Schizosaccharomyces pombe: one gene and its partners. The gene in region 1 interacts genetically with each later gene. Each region holds a gene or a part of one and is shown on either strand. Other genes may lie near its edges.

Region 1 (7,199 bases):
ATTCCCATCTTTTTAAAATAATAGGATTTCGACTCTCTAATCTAATTACTACAATTAGGAGTGCTTGGCAGAAGGCAAAATTCTACCACTTGCCAAGCACCTAGTACCGCAGTGCAAAATTACATTCTTAAATTAGTTTTTCAATATAAGTGAATACTCGCCTGGATATATAATCTAATTGCAATGAAAATGAAATTTAATAAATATTTAATATTTTTTTTATGCTTTAAATAGAAGATGTGAAGCTCTAAAGTGCGAAATTGAAAATCTATACACTGCAACTCAATTGTAATGAATTAAATTAAATTATTAGAACCTTTTGTTATTCTTGGAACAACTTCAACATCAAGTAATATGAAAATAGACAAGGTATAAAAGCTAAAATTTATGTACAAGCTGGCTGGAAGCTACATGTACGCAAATACCTAATTTAGTTTGATACATATATAGCTTTCATCAATATAAAAAGCACCAAGTATATTTACTAGATCAATTATTTAAATTTTTTTTTTCTTAAAAATACAAAAAACCAAAGAATGTTTAACCATATTGAATATTATTAATTAATCATGTCACTAATTCAGGCATATATTACCATCAGAACAATCAATTTAAAAAAGTTTTGTAGAAAGTAGCCAGATTTTACAGCCTTTAGTCACGAACTTTCTCTTTAAGAGTCTGCAAAAACTGTAAATAGCTGGGAGAGTTCTCACTACGATCCTCGACGAAGTGAGAGAAAAACCATGAGCGCAATTGTGGATCACCATCACCACGTACAAGGTAAAGACTAGGCATAATAGTTGAACCTTTATCCAACGAACGAAGTTTACCGAGAATCGCATTGATACGAACGTTAAGTGGGTTGTCTATAACTGGCATTGTAAAACGTCCAGCTTTCAAATCCGCAAGAGAGTTTACACCAAATGCGTCTATCAGTAGCTGCGGAACTGCATCTTTACCAATATACAAAAATTGATGAATGTGTGTATCAACCAAATATAAACCAAAAGATTGCAACAAAGCTGAAGTAAGATTTAACGCAGAAGGGAGAACTACACCCTGTTCTGTAACAGTTCCTGCTTCAATAGGCATATCGTGCAAAGAATAAAGAGTTGGATAAATGTAACGCATTAGTAAAGGAGTTGGCAGAGTACTTAAATAACATAGAGCAATAGAACGAAGGTCAGATGAGATATGACTAGATCTTCTGAATCCAGTATGCTTCGTCAATGCTAAACAAAGCAATGGTAATAGTCTTAAATTGGTGCTTATTTGAAGCGGGATCGCAGCACCGGTGTTTTGTCCAGCCAAATTTTTTTTGTAAACTTCCAAAATTTCTACAAGCTTACTTATAATGCTATCACGGGCTTCGTTCAACGTAGAAGAAAGAGCCTTTTCACTAGCCCGGACAGTAAGATATTGTGCAATGGCAACTTGATCGGCTGATGCATATAAATCAGTCATACTATTGGTAGTAGGAAGAGAAATAGTCAGTACACGAATCCGTCTTTCACCGTTACAAGTAGTATGGAGCATAGCTGTTTGGAAAGAAACAAAGGGCTTGGTGATAGTGTCCTCAATAACAACCTCTACTACATAACTCTGATCGCGAGGAAAAGAAGGAAACGCACATAGATCACTTGAACGATTAAAAAAGTTTCCGTAGAAAGAAGACATACGGAGACCGTTAGATCCACGAACACGCATCACCGCCTCTAGCTCAATCTCCATACTGAGATAGTTAGTAAGTTCAGAAGCAAATTTAAGAGCGTCCTCGCTACGGGAAGCATTCCACCTGTGATAGAATTGGGTTTTACCAGAGGTGTATCTAGGAAGGCAACTTAAGGTTGCTACATCTTGATACTGAGAAGAAAAAAGAAACATATCAACAGAGACTTGAGACGTGGAGCATTCCACCGCGAAGGATTTATAGAAGGAGTCATTGGGATGAAGAAGGCTAGATTCACGATTTGTTCCCAAAAGTTTAGGATCTTCACGTAACTCCAATTTACCAACACCAACATTAGGAAGACTCGAAATGAGACAGCAAATTTTACCGCCAATATTTTCAATGAGACGATGGGCAGCCTTAAGACCTGGTCCAAGGGCATTACTAGAATCACGGGTAGTTGCAAACATTGATTGAAATCGCTCGAGTAAGTTTTCAATGCCTTGTCTACATTCGCGTAAATTAAGTAACAAATCTTGATTCCTGGGTAAAAACGGTTCCTCTAAATCAGAAACAACTAGTTGGGTGGCTTCTTCAGCACCAGGGGAAACTGAAAAAAAATGCAGGGCACTGTCTACACCAATAAAAGCCACCTTTGCACGTCCTTCTTTATTGGGGATGCGATCCAATGATTCCAGAATTGCACGACTTGCAGTACCAACCATACCAGAAGATATGGATACAAACGAAATATCAATTAAAAATACGTAAACCAAAGGTTGTGGAGCACGAACCATATATTCTTGAGGAGCAATAAAATCAACAACTGCATAATTGAGCTCAGGACGTTGCCAGCGATCACGTTGGACATTTCTGAAACTGTCCCAGTCATATGACTGGGGTACTTCATTAACAATACCACAAGAATTACAGCGATAGCGATGGCCATTGTCAATAAAGATACTAAAAGGATTGATATACATACGACACCTGCGGCATCGTGATATAATAGTATCAGTAACAACTGGAACTGGATCATCTTCTTCGACCAAGCTAGTATATGGACGGATGACTAATGCAAATGGAATTTTTGACTTTTTTAACAAGCTATTTGTTGTCGGTACACAGTTTATCGTGGATCGAACATATTTGGGAGGGCAATTGGAAGTAGCTGCTCCAGTAGCGGAATAGCTTAAGGGTAAATTAATAGGAGGAGGAGGAGAGGTTAAGTCAGAAATTTCTGGTGTTTGATTGTACAAATCAACAGAAACTAACTCATTGGTAGGCATAGCTGCTGCACCATCTGCTCCAAGTGACATTCCGCCAAATTGTGCAGAGAGAGATTTAGTTCCCACCTCTGCGCGATCATGAGGATATGGTGAAGAGGATGGAGTTCGTGCCATAACGTAAGAGGGCTCTGAAAGAGAAGGGGGAGCCGGTGACGCTGCTAAGGTATTTGTAAGTTCAAACACCTCAGCAGGATACTGTCTACGAGACTTATGAGAGGTATGAGAAACGGGTGGTTGTTGATCGACAGATCCTATTATGTTGGTAGGAGCAGCACCCATAGCTCCAACAGCGTATTCACCATTGCTTACAATGCCTTCAGCTGTACCCTCAGCAACTGCCCCGACATAAGGAGCGGTATTATCTAGCTGGCCAGCAACTGGATAAACTGGCTGAAATCCTTGAGGAGGTATATTCGAATTTCCACTACTAGCTCCATAACTACCCTTTCCGTAGAAAGCGTCCTCCTGACTCATTGCTTTAGTGTATTTTTTTTTACTTACAGTGGTATATTGCTAGCAAAAAAAAGAAAAGAAACACTGAATTATTTAATAACTTTTTTGAAGATCCCTCTATTTTTCCTTCCTTTTCACAAAAAGACGTTTTTAACAGTGTTCCCTGGAGTAGGTAAATGGCAGCTACATTCGCTGGTTCAACTAACGTAGATGGAAAGTTAAGGTAATCACTGGAAAGTTAACGAGCTTTACAGTTTCGTTATTAAATACTATGTATCGTAGTAATTATATCGGTGACACACGTTATTACCCTAATAATTTTAACATAGGCAGGAACTTTGTACCTAATTGATAAAAAATAGTGATTATTAGTAAACAAAAGCCAATAGAGATATTTTATCGTTTTAATTTATTCTTTTTTTTTTTTAAGTTTGATATGAGGCAGATACCTGTAAACGTTTTCAACTAAAAAAACTCTTCTAAACCACTCATACTTAATTTTCTATTTTAAAAATTTTACATGTATATATCATAAACAAGAGAGTCACATCTTAAGAAATTTTGAAATTTTTTTAAAAATGCTCTCAAAAACCATCACTGCATGTATCGTACACTATTTAGCTACACCAACGCTCTATAATGTTACCCAATTTTAACAGGCTCACTAGTTAATTAGAATTCAGAATTGCAAAGTATCAAAAGTTCAATTATAGATTGAATAATTGAAGTTGCCTGCGCTATTTGGTTTTGTCTTACATGAACTATTACACCCCGGGTCCCTTGCTATACTGATTACCTTTTGTCAATGTTTTTTTCTTAATATTTCTTCAGACAAGTGAACATTATTATGCAAGGAAAAAACAATTTAAGTTGCAGACCGGATACAGAGGACAATGAAGAGCTCTTTGTCGATGATCAACTCTTATCACCCATTGGTGACTCGAAAAATACAAGTTCTTTCATTTACTTGGGAAACCCCATAAGCTTTCATGAATACAATTATGATGAGACTATGGTATCACCTGAAAATGTGAAAACAGCAATTGCTGGAAGTGCGAAAGACCATGAAACATGTCGAGGCTTCAAAAAAACAGGCACTACTTCATATAAAGACTTTGTATTCAGTAGAGATTACACCAACTGGACACCCACTTTTTGGGTTCTGTTAAGTCAACTAATTGATGAATTTTTGAAAGAAAGCGAATTAAACTTTGTGGCTGCGAGAGATCTTCTTATTAAAACCAAAAGACTTCCAAAACCTTTCAATAATTTACTCATTCAATTTCGTATGACACCTGAGTGCTTTCAAAAAAATCCGCTAATTCAAGTCTAGAAATTCAAGTGCCCAATGTTTCACGAAGGACTGTGTATAGGCATCTTAAGGGATATTTTAACATTCCAGGTTATGAAAGGTTTCAATACGTTAAAAAAGCGTCGTCTGGATCATGGGGAGCAAACGACATTATCACTTTGGAAAAAGAAATTGCTATGTTTAAAAAGGTATGGTCTTTAGCTTGCTGTTTTATTATAAATATTAAAAAACAGAAAAAAAATTGGTCTGATGAACAATTTCTTCAATATGTTTGGTCTGATAACCATCGTGATGAAATGAAAACATTATATAATTGTTTGTGTAAGTCAATTACTATCACTTGTTACTAATTAATAATAGATGAGCTTATCGATAGGGATAAAAAGAGTATTTACAATTATCTCCGCAGAAAATATAATCCATTTAAGAAAAAATGTAAATGGACTATAGAAGATGAGGCAGAATTGAAAAAGTATGTAGTTTACTTTCCAAATTGCAACTAACTAATAGACTTGTTGAAAAACATGGAACATCCTGGAGCTTAATTGGCAAATTGTCGAATAGACTACCAATGCATTGCAGAGATCATTGGCGCGACTACATTCAACCTGGTGAAATCAATCGTTCACCATGGACTATCCAGGAGAAAGAAAAATTAATCAAAACGGTTAATCAATACTTGCAAAGCAATCCTTCATCCCCTATTCAATGGAGTCTAATTTCTAAAAACATGAGAAATCGACACCGTCATCATTGTAGGTGGAAGTATTACACACTAATTTCCAGAGATATACATAATAGTTCCCCTTTCAAACTTGGCGATAGTATATGGTTAATTGAAAGGTACTCCAATTATAAAATTTTAAATAAGAAGCTAATTAAATTCAGAATGATGGACCTTAATGTTGCAGAGGAACGGATGATTGATTGGAAATGCTTATCAGAATATGCTAATCACCTATGGACAGCAGATGCTTGTAAATCGCATTTCGAAAGAATAAAAAAAACCTTGTTTATCGATGGACTTTCTACGTTTTCTGGTAAATTTTTGAATATAATAATTATTGTTAATATGTTAACGCTTTAGATACTTTAATTCATTTGCACAAAATGCTAAATTCTTCTCCTGAAGAAACTTACATTTCGAACTTACATGATTCTTACACCGCTTTTTCTAACGCCGATGATTTATGCTAGCTACATGAACAAATTTATTTTAACTACTTCCTCAAAGTCATAGATTTAAATTTTTTGTGTATTCATTGAGAGAATGTTCTCATCTTACTTATATTAGTAAATTCACTTTTATATTTTTTCTAGTATACATTTGTGTATGTAACCTGTTTGCCGTGTAGTCAATAAATAAAACAAATGTGGATAAAAAGGAAAAATAGTTTCTAACATTGGAGATGCCGGGAATCGAACCCGGGACCTTTTCAAGGTGCGAACTATGCGAATGAAACGTTATACCCCTAAACTACATCCCCAGTCGATATGATGTTATAATTTAACCCATTATTAATAAAAGGTTAAAAAAAAGAACGAATGTCAAGCTATAAAATAAAATAATCATCATCATCATTGATTAATTTAGCAAGGGTGCCTGCATCTAGTTTTTTTATCAGTCAATAACTCATACATTAACCGCATTCATAAGAGGCTATTTTGACAGGTCATTTCTGAATTTTTTGAATTAAATTAATAGTACACAGAGAGACATAAATGAAAACTAAGTAAGTTTCATTAATAATACATGAATACAGAAGTGATGCCCACAAAATAACAAATCAGATAATTCTATTTACTTACCCATCATAAATTTTTATTCATTGATGCGAAAATAAAATATGGATGAAAAGAGGTTGATTGAAGAAAAGTAAAATCATTAAATAATTTTTTCTTTATGATAAATTAGCCAAGCGTCTAGTGATTTCATAGAGTCAAAGAACGGAATTTAAATTACTGATGTACTGAAATCCTGATTTTTATGTCAAATATTCTATCACTTCCTAACTAATCCTTTTCATAAATATGACTAAAAAAATTACAAGTTTAAGTTGTTTCGAACTTATCCTCTACACATTCATAAATACGCCATGAAACTATGCAATGTACATCAAAGACAAAAAAAAATGTTTAACTTGTAAAATAAATTGAGACTAGGCTTTTCAAAATAGGGATATCTCCGATAAAATCTCATACATAATCATGCAATCCGAAATTGGAATTGAGCTTGACAGGCAGGCTGCCATTCTAGGAAGCTATATCTGTGACAGTGGAACATAAAAAAGTCATATTTACAAAAATCTAATCCTTCTTCAAAGGAATAATTCTTGTCTCTACACCTTCTTTTGTGATAATCTTAACAAGAACTGAATCACCAACCTCGATGTGTCGTTCTCCAGCACTTGTAAATGCATCAGTAGTAATCTTCATAGCTTCCTCCAATTTTAAAAGTCTCCTTGGCTTTCTCTCT
Region 2 (7,434 bases), on another chromosome or scaffold:
GCCAAACGATTAGAAGCAGCTAAAAATATTGTCCTTAAAGAACCAAAAGACGCTCCTGCTGCTAAGAAGATTGCCATTATCGATAGTACCAATTTTCGTGATTCTCGTGTCCGTGTAAACGGTTGGGTCCATCGTATGCGTACACAAAAAGGGATTATTTTTATAATTTTACGTGATGGTACTGGATTTTTGCAGTGTGTTTTATCGGGAAAAGTCTACGATAGAGCTAGTTATGACTTTATTAATTTGGGTCCCGAGTCTACCGTATGTTTATATGGTGTAATTAAGGAATTGCCCGAAGGAAAATCAGCTCCTGGAAACCACGAGCTTGTTGTTGATTATTATCAAATCTTGCATGCTGCTCCTACCGGAGAAGAGGCTTTTACAAACCGTCTCAATGCAGAAGCGGAGCCTTCCTACTTGTTAGATCAGCGTCACCTTGTTATTCGCGGTGAAACTGCTTCTTCGGTACTCAAAGTTCGTGCTCGTGCTCTTCGTGCCATGAGAGATACATTTGAAAATCTTAAAATGACCGAGGTTACACCACCATGTATGGTGCAAACTCAAGTTGAAGGAGGTGCAACTCTTTTTAAATTTAATTATTATGGACAAGATGCCTATCTGACTCAATCTAGTCAATTGTATTTAGAGGCTGCACTTCCCGCTTTGGGAAGTGTTTATACTATTCAGGAGAGTTTCCGTGCAGAAAAATCTTTAACCAGACGCCATTTGTCTGAGTTTACCCACGTGGAGTTTGAATTGCCATTCGTGAACTTTGGCGAGTTTTTGGAAATCATTGAAGAATTCATTTGCCAAACTATCGACCGACTCCTTGATGATCCAATTGCTACTCCTTTAATTAAGCAGTTGAATCCTGATTTTGTCAAGCCTTCAAGACCTTTTATGCGTCTTTCTTACGAGGATGCGATTAAGTATCTTAATGAGCACAATATTTTGACTCCAGAAGGTGAGCAACACAAGTTTGGCGATGACATTGCTGAAGCTGCTGAGCGCAAGATGACCGATCAAATCAACCGCCCCATCTTTTTGACATACTTCCCATTGGAGATCAAATCATTTTATATGAAGCGTGTCGTTGATCGTCCTGAACTTACCGAGAGTGTTGATTGCTTAATGCCTAATGTGGGAGAAATTGTTGGTGGCAGTATGAGAATTTCCGACATTCAAGAGCTCCTTGCTGCTTATAAACGCGAAGGTATTGATCCAGCTCCCTACTACTGGTTTACGGAACAACGTAAATATGGTACTACTGAACATGGTGGCTGTGGCTTAGGACTTGAAAGATTCCTCGCTTGGTTGTGCGACCGTTACACTGTTCGTGAGTGCTGCTTATTCCCACGATTTACTGAACGTTGCACACCTTAAGCAAAGTTTATCCATATCGAAGAAATGGGTAGCTTTTAATGTTTGAACAGTGGGCGAACTATGTTGTTTACTTAGAATTTGTTTTGCAAAAATTTTTGCTTATCCTTTGAGTTTTTTAAACTTTTGATGTACATTATCTCATATGGAAAATGAAATTTCTTTAGTTTACGCTTAGAAGTAGTGAAAATGCTTAGAGGGAGAGTGTAATAAAATTTGTTTTGAAGTACATTTTCCAAGCTTTAAGTTCTTAATAGCTGTAATGACAAGAGGCTAGGTGCGAGTCAGTTAGCGTCTTTAGTAACAATAAAAGTTCAAAGTTAGTAAACATTGTTTATCATTTACATTCAATTATTTTGAGCAACAGTTGCGTTTACAAGCATAAGGTACTCATTCATGTTAGTTTACGGAGTACATGTTTTAAATATAAAGTAGTTTTCAAAACAATTTATATCTTGGACATAATTTCTCTGAAAAATACAAAGTGAACATTTCTGATTTTATTTTTTTTTGAACCATTTTAAAATATTAAACTCTGCTTAACTAGATGTCTTATGATTATAGCTTTTTGTTGTTTGCTGACAACTTATCTTAGACCTTATTGCTTAGTCCAGTTCAGAGATACCTCTAAAGTAAACTAGGTGGAGCAGTGTTCTCAATTCAATTTACATACAAAGTTTGTCGTTGAATTCAATTGAAATTGTACAAAGGGCTTTAAATTCGTCCATATAATAAGAAGCAATATATCATCAATTTCAGAATGATCTAAAATGCTAGCAAGGCCCGAAACAGATACCTCAGTGGACTATTATGCTATTTTGTAAGCTTTTTATTTTGGAGGCGTAATTTTTGATACTAACATGTAATTTATTACAGAAAACTCCAAAAAAATGCTACCTTCCAACAAATTCGAAAACAATACTTGTTCTTGGCTTTACAGTATCATCCAGATAGGAATCCTGGAGACGAAGAGCGGGCAGTAAAGCGCTTTCAAAGGTTACAGTTGGCTCATGAAGTTTTAAGTGACGCTACTAAGCGTCTCATTTATGATCAATTGTTTGGTCTTAGTACTCGTACAAGATCTCAATATAAGCCTAATTCTACTTCGAATCCCAGTAAGCATACAAGTGCGTATGCTTCCTATAATAAAGGGAAAAATTCAAAATGGTCTTCTCCATTTGCCTCAACTACGAAGAAGCCCCAAGAATCTTCCGAGAAGTATTCAAAAAAAAGTTCTACTCGAAAAAAGGAACATTTCAACAAAAAGCCTTCATTTCCAAGAGATACCGAGTACTCTCACATTTACAATATGAAATATGATCCTCGGTCAGGTATTGGTATTCGCGTAAAGAGGCAAGAACCTGAAAGCTTGAAGAAAGAAAACAATAATTCTGATTATCTTCCTAAATCAGCAATGAAACAGAAAAAAGGGGGACCGAAAGATTCTTCAAAGCATCCTTCTAATGACGGTAAAATACCAGAGTCTAAACCTTCAGTATATAAGTCTCGTGCATCCAATCTTTTTTCGTCCAATGAACAGTCAATTCATTCTTCTTTTGGATCAAAGTTCCATTTTGATAAATCCTCAAATCCTTTCTCTTTCGAATTCTCCCCATCCTCAAATGCTGCTAAACCATCGAACTCGGAAGAGTGTAACATCCCCAAATTCAATAGTTCGTTCAAAACTTCTAATGATTTTTTCACATTTACAAAAACAGAAGAAAGCTCCCCATATTCTTTTTCTTTCAAATTGGGTATGTCATCAAAAGTGCCAGAAACACCAAAGGAAGAAAAGACAAATACTTCTACAAAATATCGTGATTTCAATCGCTTTTTCTCCAAAAAGAGTGAATCAGATGTGAATTCCCCGAATTCAGTTTTCTTTGAAAGTTACTTTTCTAAAGCTACAGAAGATTCCAATACCCCGAAATTTAAGAGTTCATCCAAACCCGTTAAGAGCTCGTTTGTATTTACGAAACCAGAAGCGGAATCTTCTAATCCTTTCTCATTTGACTTTGGCTCATCAGGGCCAAAAAGCAGAAGCGATACTCGTAATAACATAAGAACACCATTATGGACGAGCAGTGTCTTTGAAAAACCGGAAAGCGATTTACCAAATAAAACTGCCTTTGGTTTCATGAGAAGCAATACTTCTACATTTAATCAAAAGTGTGACGACTTCTCTTCGGCATCATTTATGAAGGAGAAGACTGAATTTGAAGAGCAACTACAGGAAGATAATGACCATTCATTAGGTGATCTGTTTTCCAAAATCAATATTTCCACAGAATCTCCTTCTGTTGCAATGCCTTCAATCCCAGTGATTCAGCCACCATCTTTCCCCATTTTTTCATCTATTGACTTTAATGTGAGAAACCGAGAATATTGGAACCAATTGATGGTTTTTCAAAAGCTATACAGCAAGTACTGTACTGAAAGCCAACATTTTATCAACAGTTGGATCAACATTAAAAAAGAACTACACATTGTTCCTGTAAATTGGGAAATTTTTGAGAAAGTTGAGAAGAGTTGGGACCAATGCGAAGAGTTTGTTGCTGAATTTCGACAAACAGAAGAAAAGTATTTCCTTTTTTTAAAGAGGCTTCGAGAGTTGATTAATAAAAATCAAATGCTTTGAACAAATCAAGTCGTCATCTGTTAAACCATTCATCAGGGTTTTCTCAGAAATACATGATCATCCATTTTCCTTAATAAAACAAAAAGGATTTATTTGATTCCCTTATATAGTTTTCTACTAAAAAGAAAATGTATACATATATATATCAGATTAATTTTTACTACCATAATGATTATTCATAATGTTTGTTTACTTTTTGAGGAAGATTGTTTACAGTCTCACATCTGGATTTATTACTCTTTGCCAGTACAAAATGCTAGGGTGGAACAAACATGTTTTTTTTTCTGAAAGCAGGATTAATTTTCGATGCCTTTTGCGAAAAAAACTTAAAAAAAGATGTCCTTTGTCTGCACGGTTTGTACTGGTCTTACTACTGATAGTGCTAATTTTTATTTTAAAGATGGGATACAAACAACTAATTTATAAACTTAATCATCCTCCTCTTAGACGGATTGATGAAAGGAATGATCCTTTGTTTTCAAATGGCTGTAAGAACGTTCATTTGGAAGCACAGTTGCATCCGAGAATGAATGCAACTTTTGTTATGCTTGCTCGTAATTCAGACTTGCCAGGTGTTGTTTCTTCTATCAATTCATTGGAGAAACACTTTAATCGACATTTTAATTACCCTTATACATTTTTAAACGATGAGCCCTTTGATGAAAAATTTAAGGAAACCATTCTTAAACTTACATCTGCGAACGTTGAATTTGGAACGCTTGAAAAAGATACTTTTGGATTTCCTGGTAATGTTGATGTAGATGCAGCGCGTGAAGCTATTGCAAGTCAAGGAGATCGAGGTATCATGTATGGTGATACAGAAAGTTACCATCATATGTGTCGCTTTTTTTCGGGGTTCTTTTATAAGCATCCGTTGCTACTCAAATATCAATGGTACTGGCGAGTTGAACCCGACGTAGCTTTCACATGCGATATATCTTATGACCCTTTCTACTACATGGAAGAAAATGGGAAAATATATGGTTATGTTGTAGCATTAAAGGAATTAGAAGACACTGTTCCAAACTTGTTTCGATATACCTCGGCTTATCGTCGAAATAATAATTTAACCTCTAACATGTGGAAATTCTTTTTGGATGCTCCTAAAAAGGAAAACTACGATATTTCAAGAAAAGACCCTACAGTAGGTCTCTCCTTTTCCTCTCATTTAAATGCTATGATTGACTCATCATATTCAGCAGAAACATCTTCAATGGAAGGGGAGTCCTATAATATGTGTCATTTTTGGAGCAATTTTGAGATTGCAAATTTCAAGTTCTTCAGAAATGAACAGTATGAGAACTTCTTCCGTACAATGGATGCGACAGGAGGCTTTTGGACTGAAAGATGGGGAGACGCTCCATTTCACTCTCTAGCTGCTGGACTGTTCTTGTCGAAAGAACAGGTTCATTATTTTCGTGATTTAGGATATCGGCATTCTGACATTCATCATTGTGGACAAAGTCTGGGTTGCAATTGCGAATGCATTCCTGAGTTATCAGAAATAGAATCTACTTCTGGAGGTTGTGTCACCCAATGGGTGAATTTAATAGGTGATGGATTCTTAGATGAATGAGTTTTGATATCGTAATTGCATTCTCACTTAATATGCTGTTTTTTTTTCTGCACGGACGATTTACTTAACTGCAATTAATGCCAGAGTTAAAAGCTAGGGCTTACAAATATTAATTTTTTGCTTTTTTTTATATCATCTGTCTTTCACGTACCTTTTCGGATTGTTTTACTTATTTTCCAAGCTATCTAGCTGTTGAACAAACGTTTGAAATTTAATTGATAAACACTGGTCTTTTTATTCAAAATAGGTGATAATCTTACTTTAATAGTTAAGATTTAATGTAAGCATCTTTTATTTATGATGAGTATTTTTTGACAATCATAAAATAGAACAACACCGAACAATCTATGCATAACGAAGTATAAAATGTATACACTTCAAATAGTTATAGAATGTGTAATGACTACAAATGAAAAAATTTTTAGCATCTTATTGATCAGTAAAGAAGTTATACAAGAGACTAGTAGCTTTAAGGCAAAGATTTTATTAGCAAATGATTTTTTATAGATTCCCGACTAACACAGCACCCATTTCCAATATGTTTGTTCGAATACCGAGTTACTGTATATTATAATTTTTTCGTGGTACACTCTTCCTTCCATCAGCACAATACCACAATGTCCGCAGAACAAGAAAAAAAGACTCAAGGAACTACTAAAGAAGAGCAGAAATCTTCTTTTGCTAGTGAAGACGTTGCTAGCAAGCAAACAGAAGAAGCCAAAGCTGTTTTTGGTGACGGTGTGGCCAAACAAGAAAACAAGTCTGGTGCCTCCACGAACGATGAGAAGAAGCCAGCTGAAGGAGATGAGGATGCTGAACCAGCTTCCCCTGAGGTTCACTTTGAGCCTATTGTCAAATTGAGTGCAGTCGAGACAAAAACTAATGAAGAAGAGGAGACTGTCGAATTCAAAATGCGTGCTAAACTTTTCAGATTTGACAAGGCAGCAAGCGAATGGAAGGAACGTGGAACTGGTGATGCTCGTCTCTTGAAACATAAGGAGACTGGAAAAACTCGTTTGGTTATGCGTCGCGACAAGACTTTGAAAGTTTGTGCTAACCACTTATGTATGTCCAATTAGATTAATGGTTGCATTTCTAGACGTTGAAAAGACATTATGCTACGTGTTGTTGAAATACTTTTTCTTAATACATTAAAGCTCACTGTCCTTTCGTGTCTTGACTATTTCTTTTCTCTGGTTTCTCAGAATGTAGTATCTGAATACTAACTTGTTTTTAGTGATGCCCGAGATGAAATTGACTCCCAATGTTGGAAGCGATCGTAGTTGGGTTTGGACCGTTGCTGCGGATGTTAGTGAAGGAGAACCTACTGCAGAGACTTTTGCTATTCGTTTTGCAAACTCAGAAAGTAAGTTTTTTTTTGGTAGAAATACCGATGTTTTATCAATCCAGTTGATATTAACAAATAACCCTATTTCAACTGTGGTACTAACCAAACCTCGTTAGATGCCAATCTCTTTAAGGAAAACTTTGAAAAATACCAAGAAGAGAATGCCAAAATTCTCAAAAAAAATTAGTTTATATCGTCATTTATTCTGGGCTTGCTATAATAGAATTAACTTTTTTCCATCTTTTTCCTTCTCACGGTAAAGTTGATGAGTTGCTGTTGAATTTCTATGAGTCTATTTGCAGTTCTTTTAGGGTGGTATAAATATCTGAGAAAATACGTTAAAAAATATTTAAAATTCAATGAACGTCTATGTAAGTTTAACCATTGTAGAATGAAATGTATCGTACAAAGGTAAAGTTTAGCTGGTGCATGGAGCAAATGCATATTGTTTATTATAGTGAGTTGTTATAGGAGTTGAAAAATAATTTA
Region 3 (7,740 bases), 4.5 Mb from region 1:
ACAACGCAGTGAGCGGGCTGAACTCATCCGTATTTTCATTTAAAGAACTCGATACCAAATTCTTAAACTTCGTCCGTATTTTACGGTATTATTTGTTTTCGTTACTTGCTAGTCTCCGCCATTTGTACCCTGCAAATCTCAAATACGTTTTCATTATGCCTGACTCACCTACCCTTCACCATAACCATATTATTGGGCTTGAGAACGGGTCTCTAACCTCTAACAATAATCATCAAGGCATGGCATCTGTTTCGGTAGGACAATTTCAGTATCCCATCTGGTGAGTTTGTCGATATTATGCCTCCGCTAAGCTATTTAACTGTTTTCCATGTTTGCCATAGCTTTGCTCACTAATGTGCCTACATAGTGATGCGTACGTGAATTTCTCTTCTAGAAGATGCTTGCTTTTTTTCCACACAAATCAATCAGTATATATTTTTCGTTTATCCTTGTTCAATGCCTTTCTACTTCCGGCGCTGTTTATTTTGAATTTTCTGAAATTTTGACTGTAGACCAGCCACTTTCTGTTTTGAGTTTTCTTTGTTTTTGACACTCTCCTACCAGCATACCGGTCTTTGTTGTCGTCCTTTCTTTGCTTACCGTTGTTACACTGTCGCTCGCTATATCGTTCCGTTCAGCATCCTCTGTTAGATATTCAATTGATAAAAAGCGGATCGGTATTTCTAGTTTTCGTTGTTGTTTTTTATCATTCCGTTGTTTATTAAGATCTCCACCATGTGGATGCTTAACGGTTCGTAAAGCGAGCTCTTAGCCAATCATTTTCGCTGACGGCCCGATAGACTCGGCAGAGTAGGTGGAATCAACAAGGGTGAAAATTTCGTTAGGTTTACTGAAATTTTTTTCATCCAAAACTTTTTCATCTCAAGTTAAACTCTGTGACTTTTTAGCTGATGTTGGATTGCTGGTATTACTGATTGATTGTGGAATGTTCATCTCTGGGGTGTGTCTTTTTTTGAGGCACATCATGTGTTACTTTTGTGTGTAGTCGTTAAGTACTACCAAACATGAAAGCAAGCGTCTGAAAGAACAATAGAAATTTCACTAGTTTTAATGCGATTGAGAGGCTTTCATGTTGATTTTTACTAACAATTTTTAGGTCATGGTTAAATTCCCTGGCAGATGCCACATTCGGAAAGCGGCCATCTTCCTTTGAATTTATCGTAAACAAAACCCGCTTTTCGTCCGCCCCGGTCGTTGCAACCATCATCATATCTTACTATCTTTTAATTCTTGTCGGAGGTAGAATTATGCGTAATAGGCAACCTATCCGTCTTCAAAAGATTTTCCAATATTATAATTTGACTTTTTCCATCGCTTCAGCTATCCTTGCACTTTTGATTTTTGAACAAGTAGCCCCTGCTATTTACAAGCACGGTTTTTTCTTTTCTATCTGCAATGAGAAAGCATGGACTCAACCGCTGGTATTTTTATACTACTGTGCTTATATTTCAAAATTCGTACGTCTCCATCGTTTTTTGACCATACTTTTTTCATTCTAACATACGTTTTAGCTTGAATTGACAGATACTTTTTTCCTTGTCCTCCGCAAAAAACCCCTTCAATTCCTTCATTGCTACCATCATGGTGCCACTGCCGTTCTTGTATATACTCAAATTGTTGGCAGAACTTCCATCAGTTGGTTGATCATTGAAATCAATTTATTGGTTCATGTTACTATGTATTATTACTACTATCTTGTAGCCAAAGGTATTCGGGTTCCTTGGAAGAAATGGGTCACCCGCTTTCAGATCGTTCAGTTCTTTGCTGATTTAGGTTTTATTTATTTCGCAGTATACACGGAGGTTGCGTATCGGTTGAAGTTTTACAAAGCCTGTATGGGCCATTGCTCAGGACATCCTTTAGCGGCGTTCTGTGGTCTCGCAACAATCTCTTCATACCTTGTTTTGTTTATCGTCTTTTACCATAACACTTACAAGAAAAATGCTGCTCTCAAAATGAAAGCTAAGGCTGCAGCTGCAACAAAAGGTAACTCATCAGAATCTTCTAAAAATGCGGACTTAAAGCGTCTCTCAAAAAGTAACGCTTCTATTGCCGAGGTTAAATGCAATAATATAGTTACTAATCTGTATCCTATTTCTTCAGGTTTAAACAATGAAAAATAATGTTTTCGTGGTACCTCTTATGGTTTTTAATTACCCGATTTTGCTCTTACTTATAACTTGATATTGAGCCCTAAAGTCTACAAGTGCCTTTTTTTTCTTTGTTCTGCTTAACGTTGCATTTAGAATTACCAATTAATAGTTGGAGTGACTTACGGGCGACGATTTTGTGAATTTTGAAAGTACTTAATTGTCCGTTAGCTTTACATCCTTGTCTATATTCGATTACTACCTTTTATCCAGTGAATCCTTTTTCCCATTCCTTAATCAAGATTTATCGACGTCTTTACATGTTCTAAACTTTTTAGCTAAACCTCTACTAAGTATAGATTTGTTAACTTCGTGGTATCTTAAGGTCAAACTTGATGGTGTGATAATATAATTAAAAAAATCAGAGCCAAAATCTTTTCTTCAATATAATGTTCTGAATCTTTTTTTCCAAAGATTAAAAGTCCATTTGTTTAATATTTTATATTAAAAAACCATGGTAATACTAATGCACAACTTATGAAAAATGGGTATAAATTAGTAAGAAAATATACGTTCTAATAACAGTACTACAGTTGTGTAAGGTTGGTAAATTTCTCTGTATAACTTGTAGTCATTGCAAGTGAGCATACGGAATTCATTATTTATTTTGAAGTTTTCTTACTATTTCAGTTAGGGAGCGGCGCCGGTTAATCTAATAACAGTAAATACGTTTAAAACAAAATATATTAGTTTTTTTTTTATTACTATTATAAATGACTTACACAGCTTAACGGCAAATAATGATTAACCCCCTTCAGTCATAAATTGACTCAACTCATTTCTCTCATGTCAAACAAAAATTTTCCTTCATTCGCGATAGTATACGAAATATACACTCCTTAATCGGCATTTTAGCAATATCAGCACATAATAAAGAACATATGAGAATACAGGCAAAGCTTAATAAATGTTTTATCAAGAACTGTAAATGACAATGTCTCGTGCGGATCAAATCCTACAGCATCTCTTAAGGGAACTAATACATAATGATTCATTAGTTGCTAGTGAATGGTTAAAACATTCAAAGAAAATCATTCAAAATGTCCCTAGTTCGACATTGGTATTTCATGAAATGATAGAACATATAAAAGGGTAACGTAAAGCAGATCTGCCGATTGTTGTTGGAATGTTAAGACTAACTTGATCTAGCATCTGTGACAAAATGGGTATACAAGGTCGGGAAGATTTAGAAATGCCTTTACGAAACGCTTGTGAAGTTCTCAATCGTCAAACCGTTAGTGTCAAGCAAAGTATATTGCATGCCCAAATATTAAAACTTTTCCTTGAATTATCTAAACCACCCTCAGATATACATGTCCCACAAATTCCCGTCTACAAAGATTGCAACAAGAATGAACAAGAAGCTATAATCCAGTTATTAACTAGTTGTGAAGGAGACCACTGGTTGATGCCTGACTGGTCTTCAATGCCTGATGATGAAACCATAACAGAAGACTCTGAGGAAGAAACTTTCAATGGAAATGCTAATGAAATTACGATACCAGCCAACATCCACATCCCTATCATCGAGGAGTCTGACAACGCGTCTAACAATAAGCTATGTACTTTATTTAAAAAAAGCAAGCAACCGAATTTAGATTTTTTACAGATAAAACCCTTTATGTTTTGGGATTCTAGTTTGAACGAAACTGTCCGAATATCTGAAAGAAGTATTATTCGCGACTCTATATATATGTTGATAGGTTATCCAAGTTTTTTCTTCTTAAAAAATGGTTCAAAAATTGAAACACGACTTTCTTTATTACCAAAGCTTCATCACATGAGCGAAGAGATTCTTCGCAGTATAATGACAGAACTTGCCGATTACGGTTCTAACTTGGAATTTTTTCGACAAAAACTAACATCTCCTAGCGATTCGTTTTTTAAAAGTGATGACCAAAGTACCAAGAATGAGCCGTTTCTCTCTGTTGTCTTCATTTATCCTCAAATAAAACCACATCTCTTAAGTTGTTTAAAAAACACACACCAAGAGCTTATTAAACTCGAAACAGAAGTTTATAACGCTACAAAGAACTGTACTCTTTTTCAATTTTTTCAACATGTAAAAAAATTCGTTGATCCACTATTGTGCTTTCGTTTCGCTTACGAAAAATCAGCAACGAATATGTGGGATTTTGTTAAAACATTGGAGTTCATATATTCAACAAGGAATTACTCTTCACAAATGTTCAAGCTCTATAAAGCTTCTGCTATTGCAATGTTATTGTGGATGGTTAATCAAGCCTCACAAATTACCAGTTCTATGACTATAGCCAGGCCTCTATATAACATTTTAATCCTTTGTAAGGATTTTCCTAACAATTTCCTTGAGAAAGACAATATTGCTCTCCAATTGGGTAGTATTGTTTTTGACCAATCTCCAACTCTAAACAATTTACTTGTGGAAATGGAAATATTAATTAGAAGCAAAATTTTAAAGCTTGGTAAATCTTTGGATTTATCTTTTGACTTTCAAAGTTTAATGGGGGAGTTTGAAAATTTAATAAAACAACAAGAAGAAGCTAAAAAGTCGTTATGGTCAAAAAGATTTAGTCGTTTCTATTATGGGCATTATGTATTCGTCAACACCTGTCATAATTTTTTCCTAACACTATATCAATCTTTTACTGAAGTTGATGAAAATTCTATATTCAACGGCGTTTTTGAAACGCTTAATAATGATGTTGATGATGAATCTGTAATAGGGGAAAAAGAGAAACTTATTTTAAAGCAAAAGCAGAAATGTTTATCTGAATTTTTTGTTGATGACATAAAGAAGCTCTTAAATGAAGAGCTGCTCAATTGTCAAAAGCAAGAGCTACCAGATGTCATGGAAAATACATATCAAATTTCGACCGTTTCAGGAATTAAAAATGATCCGTTATTTACGTTGGACCAAACCTGTAATATAATAGCGAAACTAGCGGACAATCTCATACATCCTTCTGTTCCCATTGGTAGTTCTGCCTATCGATGTAGACGAAATTTGGCTGACTTATTATTCCTTATAATGCCATGATTACGATAAAATGCCATAATATTTACCATTACGTGTATAGAATCAATAGATTTCATAAAAGTAACCTTTTGGATGAGTAAAACCATACTGACTTACATGCGATTTCTCTAGTTTCATGTCGTTTACTAACGAATGATATTTGAAAAAGACCTATATCTATTAAAAAAAATGATAGTGTGCTTTAATGAAGGTAGAAAATCATTAGTCATATTTATTTGCTTTGGGTGTTGCTGATAGTTTGCATCACCCATAACAAACACGAGTCCTTTTGAAGAGGCTCTTTAACTTCTTCTTATTCATTCGTAAATCCAAGGTTCAATTGTACGATCGTAAACTTGGATTTCCGAAGGCTGGAACCAAAGTTTAATTTCACGATTAGCGCTTTCTATGGAATCAGAACCATGGCAAACGTTTCTACCAAGGTCGATACCATAATCACCGCGAATAGTGCCAGGGGCAGAATCCAGAGGGTTACTGGCGCCCAACATTAAGCGACCAGTTTTCACGGCTTGTTTACCTTCCCATATCATGGCACATACAGGGCCTGATGCCATGAAACCAACGAGTTTCTCATAAAAAGGCTTTCCTTTATGTTCGGCATAATGTTCTTCCACAAGATCACGACTAGGAACTAAAAATTTTAGAGCACGTAGTTTGTAGCCCTTCAACTCAAATTTTGAGATGATGTATCCAATCAGTCCTCGCTGAACTGCGTCCGGTTTCACAGCGATAAAAGTTTGTTCTGTCGACATATCAAAAATGCTTATACTCGGTGATATGAGGTGGTTGAGTAGATGGGAGCTGTCCCGTCTACTATCCCATATAAAGGATTACGGAGCAAGGACAAATAACACTCACAATATGATTGCATAAACAAAGCGGAAACAGATGTAAATAATAAAAAATGATAAGAATCGTTATAGTACACCTTCTTATATTTTTAGAGCACCAAGCCTCAGATATCTTAATGGTCGTAAATTATTGTTTACAAAAAATGCATATTTACAAACACATTACAAAGCATTCAAAGCGTACCCGTAGACGGTAAGCCAGTTTTGTTTTTTTACATACGTAAAAACTCTCCACAAATCAAAAGATTGTAAGGCTTATTGTATACTATATAATGGATTTGTTATTATCCCAATCGCCAACTTCTTACTGTTTTAGGACCATGTAACGAATGAAACCACTAATAAAAGTTAGAAGAACTTGTAATTGATACCAACTTAGTATTGGGATACCTGCAAAATTTGATTATCAACCAGTTGATAATAGATACAATTCCAAGTACATCTACATCACTTCATGCAAACGGTTTTTTCCGTACATATATTAGTTATCCCTATACATATAATTGTTAACATTGTCTTGATATACGAATAAGGCTTTTATGATTATTCCTAGAGTTTTATCCTTGTTTGCGAATTTATGTATATTCGTAATGGCATATACTCGAAAATCCGGGATTTAGATAAGCTTAAATCATTATATGTCTATCTAATGAGCATGACAGCCGTCTCACAATTTTACTCATAAACGGACGAGGGATAAGTTGTTTTTCTTAACAATTCAGTTGTAGTATCATCACTTTTTATTTACATTCTTTTCGAGCGCTGTTTATCTGCACATTAAGTCACCATTGTACGCATAACCATTATACCACCAAAAACGCAAAAAATATCAGTTTAAGCTGTAGGTTGTTAAAAAGAACCGTTTTCCTTTCAAAAAGGTTTACCTTTAATATTTATTATTGATATTAGTGACAAGAGGCACTGAATATCAGTTTTGAGCCAACTTTGAGGACATAAAAGTGCTTAGATCGGGAAACGTTTCTTTTGCGATTCGTCGTCAAATTTCCTCTTTTCTTTTCTTTTTTATTTCAATTCTTTTTATAGGTTATCCTTCATTCTTTTTCTACAACTGTTATTCGAGAGTTGCACTAAGAAATCACAAGTAATTCCAACCAAATTTAGACGCTGGTTATACATTATCGTTTTTCCATACCTAAAGGGTAATTTTAATTTTTTTCCTTCGTTTCCCATATCCTACTTTGCTATTCATTTTTCTTTAGAATTTAGTATCCTCTTTCTCCCGCAGCCTTTAAATTTTTGATCCTATTTGTTCGCTTGTTGTCTGTCATTATTTGGAAAAAGAGGGTTTTCTTATTATACGCGGTTTTGATCGATTTTTGTATTATTATTACCGATTCTGTTTCTTTATTGACCCGATTGTGATTGTCTACCATTCCTCGTCATAATTCCTTTTTAATATGCACACCATGAATGGGGATAATTTTGCAAATTCATTTCCGAAGAATCCCCTGTTGTCTCGTAATTCTTCGTCCAGTAACGTTATTCAATATTCAGACGAATTTAGTCCAGATGAAGACTGGTTGAATGAACATGCTGCCAAAGAGCACGAAGAGCGTATTCGTAGGCCCAGCGTCAATCGTGCATGGCAAAAGAACTCTACCTCTGGAGGCCCCAGCGTGAGTTTAGAGAAGCGTGAAGCTGACGTTGCTAGTTTAGGAGAGGTGATGGATCTTGAAGA

What was found.
Region 2: mutations in rtf1 (region 1) and mug184 together harm fitness less than expected from each alone (positive genetic interaction), as found in Schizosaccharomyces pombe (one large-scale study listed by BioGRID).
Region 3: mutations in rtf1 (region 1) and mod21 together harm fitness less than expected from each alone (positive genetic interaction), as found in Schizosaccharomyces pombe (one large-scale study listed by BioGRID).

Annotation. Positions count from the first base shown.
Region 1 is NC_003424.3:4,795,988-4,803,186, reverse strand, and holds rtf1 (RNA polymerase I termination factor Rtf1), read left to right. Parts: upstream 1-4,059; 5' UTR 4,060-4,258; coding exon 4,259-4,697; exon of another isoform or gene 4,698-4,744; coding exon 4,745-4,911; intron 4,912-4,956; coding exon 4,957-5,044; intron 5,045-5,083; coding exon 5,084-5,195; exon of another isoform or gene 5,196-5,233; coding exon 5,234-5,566; exon of another isoform or gene 5,567-5,611; coding exon 5,612-5,763; intron 5,764-5,810; coding exon 5,811-5,920; 3' UTR 5,921-5,992; downstream 5,993-7,199. Other genes in the region: rRNA processing protein Rrp16, read right to left, coding at 1-8; sec24 (coincidence detector Sec24/Sfb2 subunit), read right to left, coding at 652-3,432; 20S proteasome complex subunit beta 6 Pam1, read right to left, coding at 7,031-7,199. UniProt on the Schizosaccharomyces pombe protein: Mediates site-specific replication termination at the polar replication barrier RTS1, a barrier which ensures that replication of the mat1 locus in S.pombe occurs in the centromere-proximal direction.
Region 2 is NC_003423.3:295,934-303,367, reverse strand, and holds mug184 (protein mug184), read left to right. Parts: upstream 1-1,976; 5' UTR 1,977-2,153; coding exon 2,154-2,203; exon of another isoform or gene 2,204-2,259; coding exon 2,260-3,137; intron 3,138-3,293; coding exon 3,294-4,021; downstream 4,022-7,434. Other genes in the region: asparagine--tRNA (Asn) ligase Nrs1, read left to right, coding at 1-1,386; alpha-1,2-mannosyltransferase Omh4, read left to right, coding at 4,275-5,597; Ran GTPase-binding protein Sbp1, read left to right, coding at 6,215-6,662, 6,835-6,963, 7,062-7,132. UniProt on the Schizosaccharomyces pombe protein: Has a role in sporulation.
Region 3 is NC_003424.3:246,130-253,869, reverse strand, and holds mod21 (gamma tubulin complex GCP5 subunit Mod21), read left to right. Parts: upstream 1-2,943; 5' UTR 2,944-3,099; coding exon 3,100-3,263; exon of another isoform or gene 3,264-3,320; coding exon 3,321-5,190; 3' UTR 5,191-5,291; downstream 5,292-7,740. Other genes in the region: fatty acid elongase Elo1, read left to right, coding at 156-280, 1,118-1,478, 1,533-2,144; nucleoside diphosphate kinase Ndk1, read right to left, coding at 5,487-5,942; SPOM_SPAC806.06C (nicotinamide mononucleotide adenylyltransferase), read left to right, coding at 7,460-7,740. UniProt on the Schizosaccharomyces pombe protein: Component of the gamma-tubulin complex that is required for the regulation of both interphase microtubule organization and nucleation, and mitotic bipolar spindles. Required for correct septation.